Linked DNA regions of Macaca fascicularis. The protein of the gene in region 1 purifies or fractionates together with the protein of each later gene. This does not show direct contact. Links are inferred from orthologs where the notes say so. Each region holds a gene or a part of one and is shown in the gene's direction. Other genes may lie near its edges.

What was found. Proteins that work in one complex are often made in the same cells at the same time.
Region 2: the proteins of SNAI1 (region 1) and BTRC purify together in Homo sapiens (affinity purification with western blotting; 7 studies listed by BioGRID and IntAct, with this or other methods). This does not show direct contact. The link is inferred for Macaca fascicularis from reciprocal best matches to the Homo sapiens genes SNAI1 and BTRC.
Region 3: the proteins of SNAI1 (region 1) and TRIM21 purify together in Homo sapiens (affinity purification with western blotting; 3 studies listed by BioGRID, with this or other methods). This does not show direct contact. The link is inferred for Macaca fascicularis from reciprocal best matches to the Homo sapiens genes SNAI1 and TRIM21.
Region 4: the proteins of SNAI1 (region 1) and EP300 purify together in Homo sapiens (affinity purification with western blotting; 3 studies listed by BioGRID and IntAct, with this or other methods). This does not show direct contact. The link is inferred for Macaca fascicularis from reciprocal best matches to the Homo sapiens genes SNAI1 and EP300.

The regions. Positions count from the first base shown.
Region 1 is NC_088384.1:106,066,929-106,072,196, forward strand, and holds the start of SNAI1 (zinc finger protein SNAI1), read left to right. Parts: upstream 1-1,845; 5' UTR 1,846-1,925; coding exon 1,926-2,007; intron 2,008-2,698; coding exon 2,699-3,226; intron 3,227-5,268. UniProt on the Homo sapiens protein: Involved in induction of the epithelial to mesenchymal transition (EMT), formation and maintenance of embryonic mesoderm, growth arrest, survival and cell migration.
Region 2 is NC_088383.1:110,505,111-110,509,949, forward strand, and holds part of BTRC (F-box/WD repeat-containing protein 1A), read left to right. Parts: intron 1-853; coding exon 854-1,103; intron 1,104-1,547; coding exon 1,548-1,666; intron 1,667-2,737; coding exon 2,738-2,848; intron 2,849-4,476; coding exon 4,477-4,555; intron 4,556-4,839. UniProt on the Homo sapiens protein: Substrate recognition component of a SCF (SKP1-CUL1-F-box protein) E3 ubiquitin-protein ligase complex which mediates the ubiquitination and subsequent proteasomal degradation of target proteins. Recognizes and binds to phosphorylated target proteins.
Region 3 is NC_088388.1:70,009,178-70,013,657, forward strand, and holds the end of TRIM21 (E3 ubiquitin-protein ligase TRIM21), read left to right. Parts: coding exon 1-170; intron 171-1,476; coding exon 1,477-1,499; intron 1,500-2,204; coding exon 2,205-2,305; intron 2,306-2,599; coding exon 2,600-3,168; 3' UTR 3,169-3,540; downstream 3,541-4,480. UniProt on the Homo sapiens protein: E3 ubiquitin-protein ligase whose activity is dependent on E2 enzymes, UBE2D1, UBE2D2, UBE2E1 and UBE2E2.
Region 4 is NC_088384.1:10,439,858-10,443,385, reverse strand, and holds part of EP300 (histone acetyltransferase p300), read left to right. Parts: intron 1-943; coding exon 944-1,225; intron 1,226-1,469; coding exon 1,470-3,528. UniProt on the Homo sapiens protein: Functions as a histone acetyltransferase and regulates transcription via chromatin remodeling. Acetylates all four core histones in nucleosomes. Histone acetylation gives an epigenetic tag for transcriptional activation.

The DNA.
Region 1 (5,268 bases):
TAAAGTTGCTGCTGAAACAAAGAATGAAAGGAAGCCAGCGTGAAGATCTAGGAGCAAAAGACGTAGGGGAGAGGAGGAGCAGCAGGTGCCACGGTGGGAAAGGTCTGGGATGTTGGAGGAACAGAAGGAAGGGTGGGGGAGGGATCCTTGTTCATGGGGGAGGGAGAGAGGCTCAAGCCAAGGTCAGCCGGGGTCAGAGCAGCGGGGCCGAGTTGGCCGAGGAAAGGACTTTGGCTTTTACTCTGAGACAGGCGCATGGGAGGGTTTGAGCAGAGGAGGGGGTGCTCTGGCCTCACTCTGGCTTCCAGCAGAGGATCCTGATTGGAGCTAAATTGACACGGGAGGGAGAGTATTCCGCCTAATAACTGCTTCCTGCCTATGTCCTCCACCCTACTCCCCACTCTCCAGCTAGAAACAGGGGAAGACGATTTTGTTCACGGCTGTTACATCCGGCACCAAGTGACCAAAACAGACAGTAGTTCTGCCCTTCATGTTGCTGGTGGTGGTGTGGGGTGCTTATAGGTTTTTCTAGTCTTCCTTCACAGGTGGAAACAAGAACGGTGAGACCTGTGAGGTTTATTTCAGCGCTACTCCCGGGCCTGGTATGCCTCCCAGGGAAGCTGGGGTGGGGGTGCAGCTGCCCCTCACCTGGGCCCACCCCACATGCATTCAGTCAGGGCCCCTACAGAGCAACGTTAGAGCCTTTAGACACAGGATCGAGGATCTTCACAGGGGTGAGGAGACACGCCCGGCCCATCCCTTCTTTCTCCCGCCGGCCTACAAGGATCTTTTTCTACGAAACTCTAACCAGGTCCCTCGTCAGCTGAAAATCCTTCGGTGGCTCCCCAGTGCCTTTGAGGCAAAGTCCAACCTCCTACGAGGCCCTGGGGCACAGCACATCTGACCCCTCCGGGCCTGCCCACCCCACGCCATCCCTGAGAGCTGCTCTCTAGGAGTTACTCTGAAGCAGTTGCCACTTCTTCCCTCGGGCCTTTTCCCTTGATAATTCTTCACTTCCTCTGGGAAGTCACCCCGACCCCCTGTCAGGTGACCCGCCTCTTAACGGTCGCTGCGTCCCGTCTCTCCCCCGCCAAAGCACACTTCCCTTTGCATTGTAATTGTCTGTTTACTTCGTCTGTCTCCCCCACTGGACCGGGAGCTACCCTTCGGGAGAGGCCTTGAATGTCCTGTCCGGGGCTGTGCCCTGCCCCAGGTACAGCTGGGCCCTCCGCAAACACTGGCTAAGGGAAGGAACGGGCGCTCTTCGCTAGCTGGGCCAGGCTGCTTTGCAAAACGGCCGTAGCATTTCACGCCGCCAGGAGCCACGTGCGGTGTCCGTTTCCTCGCTTCCTCCCCAGCAATGTGCATTTCCCTCGTCAATGCCACGCTCTCCAGGCGCCAGCCGGGCGGAGGAAATTTCCGCCCCCTCCTAAGCCCGAGGCGGGGGCGGGCGTCGGAAGGTCAGGTGTCCCGGCCCGCGCGCAGCGCCAGGGGGCGTCAGAAGCGCTCCGACCACGGGGCGCTGAGCAGGTGGGCGCGCGGCGTTCTGGCGGGGTCCCACCTCGCAGGGGCCTCGCTTCGCTCGACGTCCCGCCCCGGACAGTCCGAGCACCACGGACGACCCGCGCTGCGCCTGCGAACTCCGCCTCGGAGGAGCCCCCGCCCGGGCTCCCAGCGCCACGCGGCGCGAGCCCGGCCAGCCCCCGGCGCACCTGCTCGGGGAGTGGCCTTCGGCGGAGACGGGCCTCCGATTGGCGCGGAGGTGACAAAGGGGCGTGGCAGATGAGGCCCCTCCCCTCCCACCCCCTTGGAGTATTTAAGGGAGTTGGCGGCGCGGCTGCTCTCATTGCGCCGCGGTCCGGCCTTGTGAGTGGTACGTTTGCGCTGCTCCTGCGCGACTCGGCGACCCCAGTGCCTCGGCCACCATGCCGCGCTCTTTCCTCGTCAGAAAGCCCTCCGACCCCAATCGGAAGCCTAACTACAGCGAGCTGCAGGACTCTAATCCAGGTGTGTTGGAGGGGTGGTGGGCTCCAGGAGGTTTGGGGGAGACAGGCGAAGGCTGCGTGGGGGCCACCTGAGGGAGGCGGCCTGTCTGAGCCAGGATCGAGTCACAGGGTGTTTTGTGGAGCATTGCGGGCTCGGGCTCGGGCTCGGGAGACCGGGCAGGTGGGTCCCCAGTCCTGGGGATCGGTCTGGGTGGTTGGGGGAGTGCTGTGTAGAGAGCAGGGGTTTTGTGCTTGGGTGGCCTGTGTAGCCGGCGAGAGGCGGAGGAGCTCCGCGAGAGTGGGAGAGGAGGCCTGTGTCAGGAAGGCCCTCTGGACGCTGCTGGGGAGAGTCCGGAGTCCAGAGGGTTGAGGGGAGGGGTGGGGAGACGAGATGTGTGTGAGGAGGGGGATTGGGGCAGGGTGGTGGCTCCAGGGCTGGGGTGATGGGGTTCTGGCCTCAGGCTGGGGACTTGGGACTTAGGAGAGGGAGATCTGGAAATGACCCCCTTCAACTGGGGGTCCTACCTGTGAGAGACTCAGATTGGGTGACCTGGGCCAGGAGGGCAGGAACCTGGTCTGTCCTGTGGATCATTTTTTTGATCTAATTATGTGTTGAGAATCAGCCCTACCCAGCCCCTGGCCAGCGGTGGGTTCATGTTTGTTGATTGAGTGAATGATTTAATTAACGCCTGACTCTGCTTTTTCTCTCTCAGAGTTTACCTTCCAGCAGCCCTACGACCAGGCCCACCTGCTGGCAGCCATCCCACCTCCAGAGATCCTCAATCCCACCGCCTCGCTGCCAATGCTCATCTGGGACTCTGTCCTGGCGCCCCAAGCCCAGCCAATTGCCTGGGCCTCCCTTCGGCCCCAGGAGAGTCCCAGGGCGGCAGAGCTGACCTCCCTGTCGGACGAGGACAGTGGGAAAGGCTCCCAGCCTCCCAGCCCACCCTCACCGGCTACTTCGTCCTTCTCCTCTACTTCAGCCTCTTCCTTGGAGGCTGAGGCCTATGCTGCCTTCCCAGGCTTGGGCCAAGTGCCCAAGCAGCTGGCCCAGCTCTCTGAGGCCAAGGATCTCCAGTCTCGAAAGGCCTTCAACTGCAAATACTGCAACAAGGAATACCTCAGCCTGGGTGCCCTCAAGATGCACATCCGAAGCCACACGCTGCCCTGCGTCTGCGGAACCTGCGGGAAGGCCTTCTCCAGGCCCTGGCTGCTACAAGGCCATGTCCGGACCCACACTGGTAAGTGCCCCTCCAGGCGCCCCCACCGTTGCTTTCTGTGGCAGCTTTGTGAATTGGGACTTGCTGTTCTCATTCGCAAAGTTGTGGACACTGAGGCCCCGAGTCTCCTAACTTCTAGCTCAAGTTCAGGGGCCTGCTCTCTGGAAATGTTTGGCAGAAACGTTCCTTCATCAGCTAAGCAGATGAGCAAAGCAGACACCTTCCCAATCCCTGCAGCCTGTTTCTCAGCCAAATGGGCTGGAGCTGGATATCGGAAAAGTGCAACCAACACCTTGCTCTGGGGGCCACAGGTGTGAAGGGGCCCACCCAGCCCCACCCTCTCCCGGTCCGCCCCCTCCCTAGCCAGACAGGATGTTGTCAGACCCCCCACCTGGCTCTGAATCCTTTGAGAACTTTCTCAAAGCTTAGGCTGATGTTTCACTTCTGTGAGCCTCATTTTCTCTATCTTTCAGATGGGCATGAGAACAGCTTGTGGGGTTTCTGTACGGGCTAAATGCAGGAATGCATATGGGAATCACCTGGCAAAGTGCCGGGTACCTGCTAAACTGTCACAAAAATGGTTCCTTGGCATTTGCTCTGCTTCCCTGCTGTGTGACTTTGGGCAAGCAACTTAACCTCTCTGAGACTCGGGAGAATTATGATGGCATATGTTTTAGAGAGTGGCTGTAGGCCGGGCGCAGTGGCTCAAGCCTGTAATCCCAGCACTTTGGGAGGCCGAGACGGGCGGATCACAAGGTCAGGAGATCGAGACCAGCCTGGCTAACATGGTGAAACCCCGTCTCTACTAAAAAAAATACAAAAAACTAGCCGGGTGAGGTGGCAGGCGCCTGTAGTCCCAGCTACTCGGGAGGCTGAGGCAGGAGAATGGCGTAGACCCGGGAGGCGGAGCTGAGATGCGGCCACTGCACTCCAGCCTGGGCGACAGAGCGAGACTCCGTCTCAAAAAAAAAAAAAAAAAAAGAGAGTGGCTGTAAAGGTGGCTAATCACTTTATAGTAATTTATTATACCCGAATAGTTCTCAGGTCGGCTTCCCCACCCCCACTCAATCCTAGCACACACACCAGAAAACAGCAATTTTAGGGCAGAAAACACAATCACGTCTTTCGAAAATTTACTAAATATGTAGAAAACTTTCTGGACATGGAGAAAAGGTAGAACTTTTTAGAACTTGAACGGTGGCAGCCACTGTGCCTGGAGCTGCTCTTTGGAGAGGGACAGTTGAGGGAGAAGATTCCACAGGGTTCAAGCTGGCCAGGTTCTACCATTCCTGGCCCGGCGCCTGACCTCTGAGCAGTGAGGGTCAGTGAGGTATCTGGGAGGACTGGCATTTCGCGGGCTTTATTGGCATCTTATTCGACTAAGGCTACCCATTTCTTTTCCTTCCTGCACCAGTAGCCCTGATTTTAACATGTAAAGGTCCAACTGCTGGGCTCCCCGTGCCTGCCCAGCTCACAGGGCTCTATTTTGGGAGATTTGAACCCCTCAGGATGCTGCTCTCCTGCCTGCCTCTCTCGCCTCCCATCCGGACATTATTTTAATGTAAAGGCATGGCTGAGGCACAGAAATCCCCTTGAAATGTATCATTTCGGTCCTCATTGACTCCCATTGTGTGCCTTAATGGTGGGCCCAGTGGGTGGGGGCTGGGAGGGGTGGAGCAGGTGCATGGGGCAGGGGTGCCCAGCACCTGTTCCAGTCGCAGCTGCTGGCGCACTGCGTGGCAGGCCCCTTTAATCCGGGGGTATCGCATGTACGGTGCCCCCCTCGGCGCCCTTTGTCCCCACCGGCCTGGTGCCGATTTCACACTTGCCAGGAGTACCATGAAGGCGTCTGGGGGGCGAGGGATCTGAGGAGTGGGGGTCAGTGCCTCCTGCATATGCGTGCAGCCCCCGCCCCCAGCCCATCATGTCCTAGAATGTCTCCTTCCCCTTTTGTTCGGGTTTGTGTCTCATCACACTTAGAGCACTTACTGTGCAGGAGGTAGTGCTCGGGACTTCACCAACAGCCCTGGGAAGGGAAGGGGGGTGCCATCGTAACTCCAGTC
Region 2 (4,839 bases), on another chromosome or scaffold:
TATCCTCTGTGAATAGAAAAGACTGTTCCTGTTTTTTGTCTTTTGACTTAAAAGCATAGCAAACTTGTCCTTGTAGTTACTGACATTTAACATTTATTGGTGCTTGTGGAGCGAGTGCCCCACAGAATCTGAAACACTGTAGATGCTAACATCATTTATAAAGAAAAGATGATTTTCTATAAAAGGGGGCTAAACTGGAAAAAGGAAATAACATGTTATAAAACCCAAAGTAAATAAACAAAAATAGAATAATCAAAATATATCATCACACAAAATTCTCAAGCTATCCCAGGACCCCACACTCTGCTGTGAAGCCCATATTTACAATGCAGGGGCTGTTTTAAACCCCTGCCTACTTCAAAACACAGAAATGGGGGCTTAGAATTAGAGTCATGATTATCTTGGCCTTTGACCTTTATGATAAAACCTGAGATCCAGGGTAATCAAACTCAAATTCACATTACTAAGTATGTGACAGAAGCATCTTAGCCTATGTCATTTCTGGCTCCTGAGGGCTATCATTGGGATGGGCACTAATGCTACTGTTATTATTCAGATTCCCCATTTAAAATGTATCTTACTAATGGTATCCAATTGAATGTCAGAAGTTTTACAGTCTGGGCCAAATTATTAGGTGACAGTGGCTGCCACCTCATCCTTGCCCTCCACAACTTGCCCATATTTCAAGCAGTATGTCTTAAGGACACACTGGCAGCATCCCATTCCCTTTCTTCTCCCACTCTCCCGGTCCGGCACTCTCTCTAAATATAAGGGGTGGAAGGGTGCATGATGGTCAAATATAGGTAACAGACTGTAGCTTGAGTACCATCTAAATCTCATCTGTCGCTTCCAGAGTGTGGGATGTAAATACAGGTGAAATGCTAAACACGTTGATTCACCATTGTGAAGCAGTTCTGCACTTGCGTTTCAATAATGGCATGATGGTGACCTGCTCCAAAGATCGTTCCATTGCTGTATGGGATATGGCCTCCCCAACTGACATTACCCTCCGGAGGGTGCTGGTCGGACACCGAGCTGCTGTCAATGTTGTAGACTTTGATGACAAGTACATCGTTTCTGCATCTGGGGATAGAACTATAAAGGTAATAAGGCATTTTTCAGTAAGTTTCCAACTTAGAATGGGGAAATTCATATGAAAATTTGATCAGGGGCAATTTCATATTTAAACATTGGTGCAGAAAAATGTAATATTTAATTCAGAGACTATTCTACAAGTGAAAAGGTAATAAGTGAGACGTTGTGTGACAATTTGGCCGAGGTATTTTATTCCTATAAATAATGGTGAGTGTGAGAAGATACTAACCCTAGAAGAGTAAATCAATTTGAGGAATTCTCATGTGATAACAGCCAACTGCAAATTAGCCTCTGTTACCATGAATTTAAATTGTCCTTTGTTTTATTTGTTTGAGAAGTTGACTTCCCTCTAATGGTTCAGCCCTGTTTTCTGCTTCCCTAAGACTCCAGTTGCCATAGATTTTACCAGTAAAAGCACCAAATCAACTGCTCAATGCCATTTTCTTTTTCAGGTATGGAACACAAGTACTTGTGAATTTGTAAGGACCTTAAATGGACACAAACGAGGCATTGCCTGTTTGCAGTACAGGGACAGGCTGGTAGTGAGTGGCTCATCTGACAACACTATCAGGTGAGCACCTAGTACCTTGTATCATAAGGGATCGATATTATGCTCCCATTCATTACTAATGCACAGATCATACAAGTCTGTAATTTTGTTATGTTTATAATCAACTGTGTTTCCTTTCTGTAGCTTCTTACAGATCAGAAGTTTGCCCCAAGCAGAGAAGCAGCACAGCAAAGCCTTTTGTTGCCCTTCTTTTTAAATTTCTCCTGTCTACAGTTGAAAAGTGCTAATAAACAGCTAAAAGCCTTTTCTTTGCCATTGTTTTCAAGAAATGAAAAGATTTGTTTCCTTACTAGAAATTATGTAATTTTTGTCTTAGCATTACATAATTGGCCAGAGTTACCTGTATTTGAAATTATGAAGGTTTCACAGTTGGAAGCCCTTTTTGGGGTGTTCTCTTCACAAAGACGAATGACATAGTCATGATTAGAATTTGGAAGATTTATCCATCATTACCCTTCAGTGAAGTACTAAAAGGATGAAAAGGCCATTAAAAAAACAACAGATAGAGCTACTGTTTGTTATATCTAAGGAAATTATTCCTAGAAGTCACTTGAATTGCTCTGAAAACATACAGTTTTTTAAATTAGTACACAAAAGTTTTTGAGAACTGACTTTGCATTTCCATTCTCTGAGAATAACTGTCCTGGACAGTGGTAAAAGAAGTGTCCACCATGGCAGAGGGGGAGGTGCTTTGTGAGAACAGGACATCGCTGATAATCTGTATCTTATTCAGTTTGATGACTTCAGGAAACTACTTTCTTAGCTCAGTCATTTCCTGCTCAGGCAACTGTGTGCATTGAGTTCGTTTTTATACCTGGAAGAACCTGTTTACAGAATTATATAAAGCACTGTGCTTTGAAAATACATTTTATGTTTGAACTTAAACCTACATTTTTCTGTGTGAGTTATATAGCAGAAAGGAAATAAATTACATTGAAAGCAGTACATATCTGTGTGGGTGGTGATTGATTTTATTTTGTGAATTTTTAGAAGGCATATAAAGTGTATTATAACATTCCAGGCTTAGAAAAGAATACGTGAAAATTCACTTGACTCAATTTTCTCTTCCAGATTATGGGACATAGAATGTGGTGCATGTTTACGAGTGTTAGAAGGCCATGAGGAATTGGTGCGTTGTATTCGATTTGATAACAAGAGGATAGTCAGTGGGGCCTATGATGGGTGAGTGTGCTAACAGGGTGTAAAAAGAGAAAATCTACGTCTTAATCCTTCCTTATGTTTATGGTGTTAAACATTACCATTCCTTGTTTCTAAAGCTTATAGATTTTACACAAAGTGATACCATATTTCTTTAATCTGTATATTTACCTCTCCTTGGTTTAGTGTCCTGAAATATTCTTTCCAATCATTTTATTATACTTGTTTGCACATGGTTGTCATTCATATTTTGGTTATTTGGTTATGTATTTCACTGTTTTGCCCTGTAAAGCAAAACAAGAAAAACCCAGTGTTAACAGGCTACCCATGTAAAGTGGTAACCTGTTAACAAAACACAAACACTAGAGGGCAGTATTTGGGGATTTAGTGTGGTAAGATCTCCAATTTTGATCTCTTGGATTTTTTATCTCTTTTAGTAATTTTTAAAAGTACAGTTCTCTTGTCATCACTTGTCATCCTAGCATTTCATTTATGAGTTTAGTCATCTTTATTTTCTTCTAATTTCTAGTGGTTATGGAATCCATTAATGTTGTGAATGGACCCCACGTCCACCAATCCTAAGCACAGTGGCTTGTGCATGTAATCCCAACACTTTGGGAGACCGAGACAGGTGGATACTTGAGGTCAGGAGTTCAAGACCAGCCTGGCCAACATGGCAAAACCCAGTCTCTACTAAAAGTACAAAAATTAGCCAGGTGTGGTTGCAGGTGCCTGTAATCTCAGCTACTCAGGAGACTGAGGCAGGAGAATTGCTTGAACCAGGGAGGCAGAGGTTGCAGTGAGCCAAGATTGCACCACCATGCTCCAGCCTGGGCGACAGAGCAAGACTCCGTCTCCAAAAAAAAAAAAAAAAAAAAAAAAGTTATTCACTTACGAAGGACTCCTTATCATTTCTTTTTGTCAAACTGCCTGATTTGGGGGGTGAAGGGTAGAAAGCTACAGTTCAAATATTGGCAACTTTTTAAATATCAGAAACTAACAACATTATTTTAGTTCATGAGCTAACTATACTGATACATTAATTAGCCAATGCAAGCAGCAAGAAGCTGCTCACTTCTTCTGCTTTGGGTCAGCCATCACTGTTACAACCTTGGGAAACTGTTCAGAGTGTGGTGACATGTTCCAGCTTGGTCAAGACAATATTTTCTTATTGCCCTGGCTTTGATCTGTACCCACCTGTCTTGGAATTTGTCTGTTATGTACCTTGAGGAAACATGGCCTATAAAAGGTTGTTGGAAGAGCTACACTTATTTAAATCAAAAGATGAGGGCTTACTTATATAAACTCCATTGCTCTTACATGGACCCCAGTCCCTCAGTACATGTGACCTGGGCCACTCTTAGAAGTGACCAGGAAGAGGATGCCTCAGAGTTGTAGATTTCTAGGTCTATGTAATATCATTAGGAGGTCTAATGTACAAGATCTCCTCTTGATCCCAAAGTGTGGTTTAACTTTACTATTAAATGTCTTCAGTTTGGTTAAAGCTAGCCTGTTTCTCATTTGTAGGTTAATCACGTACATTTCAACTATACTCACCATCCATATTTATTGCCATGAATTTCTGCTGTTCTTCCCTGTGTTCTCTTACTTTTGCTTTTAACTAGCATTTTTGTCCCCTTTTTGATCTTTAGAAAAATTAAAGTGTGGGATCTTGTGGCTGCTTTGGACCCCCGTGCTCCTGCAGGGACACTCTGTCTACGGACCCTTGTGGTAAGAGCCTTGCTGTTAGAGCATTGGAGAGCAGGTGGGGGAAGAAATTAAACATTGATGTGCTGTGGAATATGGATTTGAATTTAATAGTTACAACCTCACAAAACCTACAACTAAGTGGTAAGGCAACCAGTACATGACAATAAAATATGTTTATATAATTCCTTTCATCCAAAAATGCTTTAGAGACTATATATGGAGAGAAATGTGGCAGCTGTTTAACAGCTGCACAGAAACTCTACACAACAGTTTAGTGCAGGAAGTGAATAAGAATTCTGTATCCA
Region 3 (4,480 bases), on another chromosome or scaffold:
TGGTTGAAGAAGAACAGAGGCAGCTGCAGGAGCTGGAGAAGGATGAGAGGGAGCAGCTGAGAATCCTAGGGGAGAAAGAGGCCGAACTGGCCCAACAGAGCCAGGCCCTGCAGGAGCTCATCTCAGAGCTAGAGAGAAGGCGCCAGGGCTCAGCACTGGAACTGCTGCAGGTGAGACAGGGAGGGGTTCCCTTCTACTATTCCGGGAATAACTGAAAAAGACCAGAGCTATCTGGAACTGCCATTCGAATAAATGGACACCTGGTCCCTGGAATGTTCTTAAATAAAGTAGAATTCAAACCCACGAATGGTTTGCATTCAAGGCACAAAGTAAAGATGAAAATAAGTATAGGACCTTTTTAAAAATCAATGTATGTTGCACTTAGAATCATCTTGCATCCACCAATGATATGTTTGCCTCACTGTACGAAATGATGGACTAGATCGTCTCACAAGTCCCTTCTGTTCTAACATTCTACAGTTCTTTCTTCACCCCTGTTCACTGTGACTCAGCGTGGTCATGAGCCATTGCTTTCTGGTGTGTGCAGAAAACCTAATTGTATTGGGTTGACTTGACAGGCTCTCTTCTGCCCAAACCAGGCTTTCTTATTTATTTATTTATTTATTTATTATTTATTTATTTATTTATTTTGAGATGGAGTTTCACTCTTGTTGCCCGGGCTGGAGTACAATGGCGCGGTCTTGCCTCACTGCAACCTCCACCTCCCGGGTTCAAGCGATTCTCCTGCCTCAGCCTTACATCACCACACCTGGCTAATTTTGCATCCCTAGTAGAGATGGGGTTTCTCCATGTTGGTCAGGCTGGTCTTGAACTCCCAACCTCAGACTCCCACCTCAGCCTCCCAAAGTGCTGGGATTACAGGTGTGAGCCACCATGCCTGGCCATGAACCAGGCTTTCTAACATACTTTTAACTGAGTCTAGGATCCTGCTAGCTCCCATGTAATGGCTCCCAATCCCTATAACAAAAATATTTTCAGTGATTTGGTTTCACATACAGGAAGGGGCAACATTAAGTACCCAAGGGAACTTTAACTAACCAACCTTTCCTTCCCAAGCAATGCTAGCCCACAAATGGAACAGAGCAGTTTCTAGACACCTGAACTTGGCCATTCTCTGCCTGTGATTGGGCTTAAGCCAAGCTGGGCTATGTGCCCTCTCTGCCCTCCTTTCTTTCTCCCCTGGGGGAAAAAAATCTGGTCTTTGAGTCAGAGTCCTCAAACTGATAATCCTTCCCCAGCTGTAGGTCACATCCATGCTGGGCTTCTGGTTACCTCACAAGCATCCACACATCCTTTCTGCTTCAAGCTGGTCAGAATCATCTTTGGGGCTTTGGACCAGAGGAAGGAAAGGAACAGTTCCCCAGGGACCACAGATGGATCACATCACCCACAGGGCTAATGTCTCAGTGGCAATCCAGCAATCCAGAACTTACTCTGTGTCTCTTTTCTCCTCAGGAGGTGATAATTGTCCTGGAAAGGTAAGGAGGAGTTTTCTTTTTTAGAAGAGGGGCCAGCAGAAAGCATATATGCCTATGACAAAGGTTATTGAATTAGAAATACATGCACTGAAGTTTTCCCCATCTGGCTTCCTATTCTCAAAGACTTCATTGTCTATAAAATATTTTCTGGTCTCAGAAAGCTAATAAGTGGACATCTTAGTTGGTGATTGCCCACAGTAGTTGGATCGTAACATCTTCACACAGTAAAGCCCTGCCAAACAGGGAAATCCTGGGAAGTTCTGTGTCTTTCCAGAATTCAGACTACTGGAGCATGGCCAGCTGGAACTCCTTTTCTCAGTGGAATCTAACAAGTTACCTCCCAAAAAGAGCCATGAGTCAGACCCACAGTGTGGGCAAGACTCCTTGAGGTTCCTTGCAGAAGTGATTCAGCCTGTCTCAGATGGATTGCCTATAAAATGAAATTGAATGCATTTGCCAGGTGACCTCAGGCTTAGAGAGGAGAGACAGACTGTCCACATGCTGCAGCCTATAACCAGGAACTCCTGGGTAGAAACTAAATCCTGCATTGTTTGCCTCTCACACCCACCCCTGAAGACTTGAACACCAGAAGTGTTTGTAAATTTGAGTTGAATTAAATTATCAGAGTCCTCCACAATGGAGGTTATAGTGTTAGGGTTTGGGATAGGAGTAAGAGACAGGAGTCTCAAACTCTCTTTCCCCCAGGAGTGAGTCCTGGAACCTGAAGGGCCTGGATATTGCCTCTCCAGAACTCAGGAGTGTGTGCCATGTGCCAGGGCTGAAGAAGATGCTGAGGACATGTGCAGGTGAGGCAAGCTCTAGGAATTTTGCGGGGGATAATGGGGGTGCAGAGTAGATCCCAGGGTCAGGGAGCCTGGATGGCAACTTGGAGGAGAGATGGAAGGTCAGAGCAGGGGGAGCAGAGATGGAGGTAAGGAAGATGGTTTCTTCAAAGGTCAGGACCAAGGCAAGAACTGGCTGATGGTCATTTCCTCACACAGGGAGGTTGACCCCTCATGCTTGCCCAAAATCCCCCCACCACAGGCACAGAGTTAGTGACTCCCCCCATGCAAGACATGACTATGGTCCTCTCTCTGCAGTCCACATCACTCTGGATCCAGACACAGCCAATCCATGGCTCATACTTTCAGAAGATCGGAGACAAGTGAGGCTTGGAGACACCCAGCAGAGCATACCTGGAAATGAAGAGAGATTTGATAGTTATCCTATGGTCCTGGGTGCCCAGCACTTCCACTCTGGAAAACATTACTGGGAGGTAGATGTGACAGGAAAGGAGGCCTGGGACCTGGGTGTCTGCAGAGACTCTGTGCGCAGGAAGGGGCACTTTTTGCTTAGTTCCAAGAGTGGCTTCTGGACAATTTGGTTGTGGAACAAACAAAAATATGAGGCTGGCACCTACCCCCAGACCCCCCTCCACCTTCAGGTGCCTCCATGCCAAATTGGGATTTTCCTGGACTATGAGGCCGGCATGGTCTCCTTCTACAACATCACTGACCATGGCTCCCTCATCTACTCCTTCTCTGAATGTGCCTTTACAGGACCTCTGCGGCCCTTCTTCAGTCCTGGTTTCAATGACGGAGGAAGAAACACAGCCCCTCTAACCCTCTGTCCACTAAATATTGGATCACAAGGATCCACTGACTATTGATGGCTTTCTCTGGACACTGCCATTCTCCCCATTGGCACCACTTCTCAGCCACAAACCCTGCCTATTTTCCCCATGAACTCTGAACCACCTTTCTCTCTGCAGAGGCATCTGGATCCCAGCAAGCGAGCTTTAGCAGGGAAGTCACTTCATCATCAACATTCCTGCCCCAGATGGCTTTGTGATTCCCTCCTTATATTTGGCCCAAACTCATCTTGATCAACCAAAAACGTGTTTCTGCCTTCTTTATGGGACTTAAGTTTTGTTTTCTCCTCTCCATCTCTAGGGTGTCATCTTTGATGAGATCTCTATTATATCTTGTATGGTTTGCAAAAAGACTTCCTAAAAGTAAAAAATAAAATTTAAAAAACCGTGTCTCAGTCTATCTCATTCAGTCCTCGTTCCTTAATCCTGAAATACTTGATAACTCTGAATATGATTAATAGTAACGTGTCTTTAACATTGCACGTTTTTTTCCTGCCTGGGCTGTCCCCTCTTCTCCATTTGAAATATTTGATCTTGGACTGAAGACCCAGGTCAAGAATCTTCTGTACTTCCCCATTACAGCCTTCCCCATCATAGCCGCTGTGGTGATAGAAGGCCATCTGGGCTCTGATCGCTGCCTGAGGGGATATTACCTCCTTACCATGATGGAACACCTGCTTTTGAAATACAAAGTTCTCCTAGGGTTGGGGTAGCTCTGTGGACCTCTGCATCTCTGACCCTCACGGACCTGAAGCACCTTCTGTCCATGTTCTCAGTAAGTGACGAGTGATAACATCAAAGTTCCTGGAGCTCTCTGTCCCTGCAAGGTCAAGGCTGGGCTGCCCTATGCTTTCAGTATTCTTCTAGAAAACTGGCCAACTCCCGTGCCCCTTGGAATATCCAATTTTAATGATATTTCTCTCTGGAATGCGTCTTTCTTGGGCAAAGTTTTCTGACTAATGCTCACCTGCTACTCACCTGTTGTGTGGCCCGGTTCCTAACAAGCCATGGACCTGTACCAGTCCACGGCCAGGGGGTTGGGGCTCCTGTTCTTAATGATCAGGAATGTGTAGTTTTTTACATTTTTTATTGACATATATGTGCATTCAGAAAAGTGCACATAGCATTCACATCAATGATTCTTTTTGTAAAAAGTTGAATGGAATCCTGTAATAGAACCCATACAGAACCAGAACATTCCCAGCACCCCAGCAGATCCAGATGAGCTCCCTTCAAGTCACAGCCCACGAAGGTAATCACTATCCTCACATATACAACTCGATTTATTTTGATATTTTGAATCCTGTGTAACTACAGTACCCATTATTTT
Region 4 (3,528 bases), about 96 Mb from region 1:
TCCAGGCCAGTTGTTTTTCATACTGTCTCCATATTTGGATTTGTCTGGTTTGTTGTAATTAGTTTGAGGGTAAACCATGGATTGCATCTTAAAGTAGACTGCCTTGGGGCAAAATGTCCACTGTGTGTGGTGCTCTACCTGACCTAGACCATTCTTACTCTGAAGGAGTTATTGAATAAGGGAGAAAAAATCACAGGATGTGCATTTCAGTTCTATTTATAGTCAGTCTCAAGATACCAAAAAGGTAAAGCAGGAAAAGAGAGCAGGAGGAGTATGGTAAAACTAACTCAGCATGGCCGGGCGCGGTGGCTCAAGCCTGTAATCCCAGCACTTTGGGAGGCCGAGACGGGCGGATCACGAGGTCAGGAGATCGAGACCATCCTGGCTAACACAGTGAAACCCCGTCTCTACTAAAAAAATACAAAAAAAAAAAACTAGCCGGGCGAGGTGGCAGGTGCCTGTAGTCCCAGCTACTCGGGAGGCTGAGGCAGAAGAATGGCGTAAACCCGGGAGGCGGAGCTTGCAGTGAGCCGAGATCTGGCCACTGCACTCCACCCTGGGTGACAGAGACACTGTCTCAAAAAAAAAAAAAAAAAAAAAAAAAAACTAAGCATTCGCCAGTCTCATTGATGCTTAGCCTGCTTTACCTGCTCACACCTGTAATCCCAGCACTCTGGGAGGCTGAAACAGGCAGATCACTTGAGCTCAGGAGTTTGAGACTAGCCTGGGTAACATGGTAAAACCTCGTCTCTACAAAAAATGCAGAAATTAGCCAGGCGTGGTGGTGTGGGCCTGTGGTCTCAGCTATTCAGGAAGCCAAGGTGGGATAATTGCTTGAGCCCAGGAGGCAGAGGTTGTAGTGAGCCAAGAGCACACCACTGCACTCCAGTCTGGGTGACAGACCGAGGCCCTGTCTCAAAAAAAGAGATTGTGTGTTTTGCAGGTCTTCTTTGTGATCCGCCTCATTGCTGGCCCTACTGCCAACTCCCTGCCTCCCATTGTTGATCCTGACCCTCTCATCCCCTGTGATCTGATGGATGGTCGGGATGCGTTTCTCACGCTGGCAAGAGACAAGCACCTGGAGTTCTCTTCACTCCGAAGAGCCCAGTGGTCCACCATGTGCATGCTGGTGGAGCTGCACACGCAGAGCCAGGACCGCTTTGTCTACACCTGCAATGAATGCAAGCACCATGTGGAGACACGCTGGCACTGTACTGTCTGTGAGGTAGGCACTGGGTTGTGGGAACAAGGAGGTGAGCTCTGCAGGGTTGTTCTGAGGGGCCATGCAGCCTCGTGTTGTATATAGGCCTGTGGGATGGCAGGGGCCTGGCCTTGTGTTTGCGAGGCAGAGCTGAAGAGGCTGGTTTTTGTTCTACAAAAGGGGCTTTTCCAGCCCAGAGAGTATCCAAAATACTTTTGAATGACTTAAATCTTGGAGAGTTTACCTGCACTTCCTGTTTTTTCTCTAGGATTATGACTTGTGTATCACCTGCTATAACACTAAAAACCATGACCACAAAATGGAGAAACTAGGTCTTGGCTTAGATGATGAGAGCAACAACCAGCAGGCTGCAGCCACCCAGAGCCCAGGCGATTCTCGCCGCCTGAGTATCCAGCGCTGCATCCAGTCTCTGGTCCATGCTTGCCAGTGTCGGAATGCCAATTGCTCCCTGCCATCCTGCCAGAAGATGAAGCGGGTTGTGCAGCATACCAAGGGTTGCAAACGGAAAACCAATGGCGGGTGCCCCATCTGCAAGCAGCTCATCGCCCTCTGCTGCTACCATGCCAAGCACTGCCAGGAGAACAAATGCCCAGTGCCGTTCTGCCTAAACATCAAGCAGAAGCTCCGGCAGCAGCAGCTGCAGCACCGACTACAACAGGCCCAAATGCTTCGCAGAAGGATGGCCAGCATGCAGCGGACTGGTGTGGTCGGGCAGCAACAGGGCCTCCCTTCCCCCACTCCTGCCACTCCAACGACACCAACTGGCCAACAGCCAACCACCCCACAGACGCCCCAGCCCACCTCTCAGCCTCAGCCTACCCCTCCCAATAGTATGCCACCCTACTTGCCCAGGACTCAAGCTGCTGGCCCTGTGTCCCAGGGTAAGGCAGCAGGCCAGGTGACCCCTCCAACCCCTCCTCAGACTGCTCAGCCACCCCTTCCAGGGCCCCCACCTGCAGCAGTGGAAATGGCAATGCAGATTCAGAGAGCAGCAGAGACGCAGCGCCAGATGGCCCACGTGCAAATTTTTCAAAGGCCAATCCAACATCAGATGCCCCCGATGACTCCCATGGCCCCCATGGGTATGAACCCACCTCCCATGACCAGAGGTCCCAGTGGGCATTTGGAGCCAGGGATGGGACCGACGGGGATGCAGCAACAGCCACCCTGGGGCCAAGGAGGATTGCCTCAGCCCCAGCAACTACAGTCTGGGATGCCAAGGCCAGCCATGATGTCAGTGGCCCAGCATGGTCAACCCTTGAACATGGCTCCACAACCAGGATTGGGCCAGGTAGGTGTGAGCCCACTCAAACCAGGCACTGTGTCTCAACAAGCCTTACAAAACCTTTTGCGGACTCTCAGGTCTCCCAGCTCTCCCCTACAGCAGCAACAGGTGCTTAGTATCCTTCACGCCAACCCCCAGCTGTTGGCTGCATTCATCAAGCAGCGGGCTGCCAAGTATGCCAACTCTAATCCACAACCCATCCCTGGGCAGCCTGGCATGCCCCAGGGGCAGCCAGGGCTGCAGCCACCTACCATGCCAGGTCAGCAGGGGGTCCACTCCAATCCAGCCATGCAGAACATGAATCCAATGCAGGCGGGCGTCCAGAGGGCTGGCCTGCCCCAGCAGCAACCCCAGCAGCAACTCCAGCCGCCCATGGGAGGGATGAGCCCCCAGTCTCAGCAGATGAACATGAACCACAACACCATGCCTTCACAATTCCGAGACATCTTGAGACGACAACAGATGATGCAACAGCAGCAGCAACAGGGAGCAGGGCCAGGAATAGGCCCAGGAATGGCTAACCATAACCAGTTCCAGCAACCCCAAGGAGTTGGCTACCCACCACAGCAGCAGCAGCGGATGCAACATCACATGCAACAGATGCAACAAGGAAATATGGGACAGATGGGCCAGCTCCCCCAGGCCTTGGGAGCAGAGGCAGGTGCCAGTCTACAGGCCTATCAGCAGCGACTCCTTCAGCAACAGATGGGGTCTCCTGCTCAGCCCAACCCCATGAGCCCCCAGCAGCATATGCTCCCAAATCAGGCCCAGTCTCCACACCTACAAGGCCAGCAGATCCCTAATTCTCTCTCCAATCAAGTGCGCTCTCCGCAGCCTGTCCCTTCTCCACGGCCACAGTCCCAGCCCCCCCACTCCAGCCCTTCTCCAAGGATGCAGCCTCAGCCTTCTCCACACCACGTTTCCCCACAGACAAGTTCCCCGCATCCTGGACTGGTAGCTGCCCAGGCCAACCCCATGGAACAAGGGCATTTTGCCAGCCCGGACCAGAATTCAATGCTTT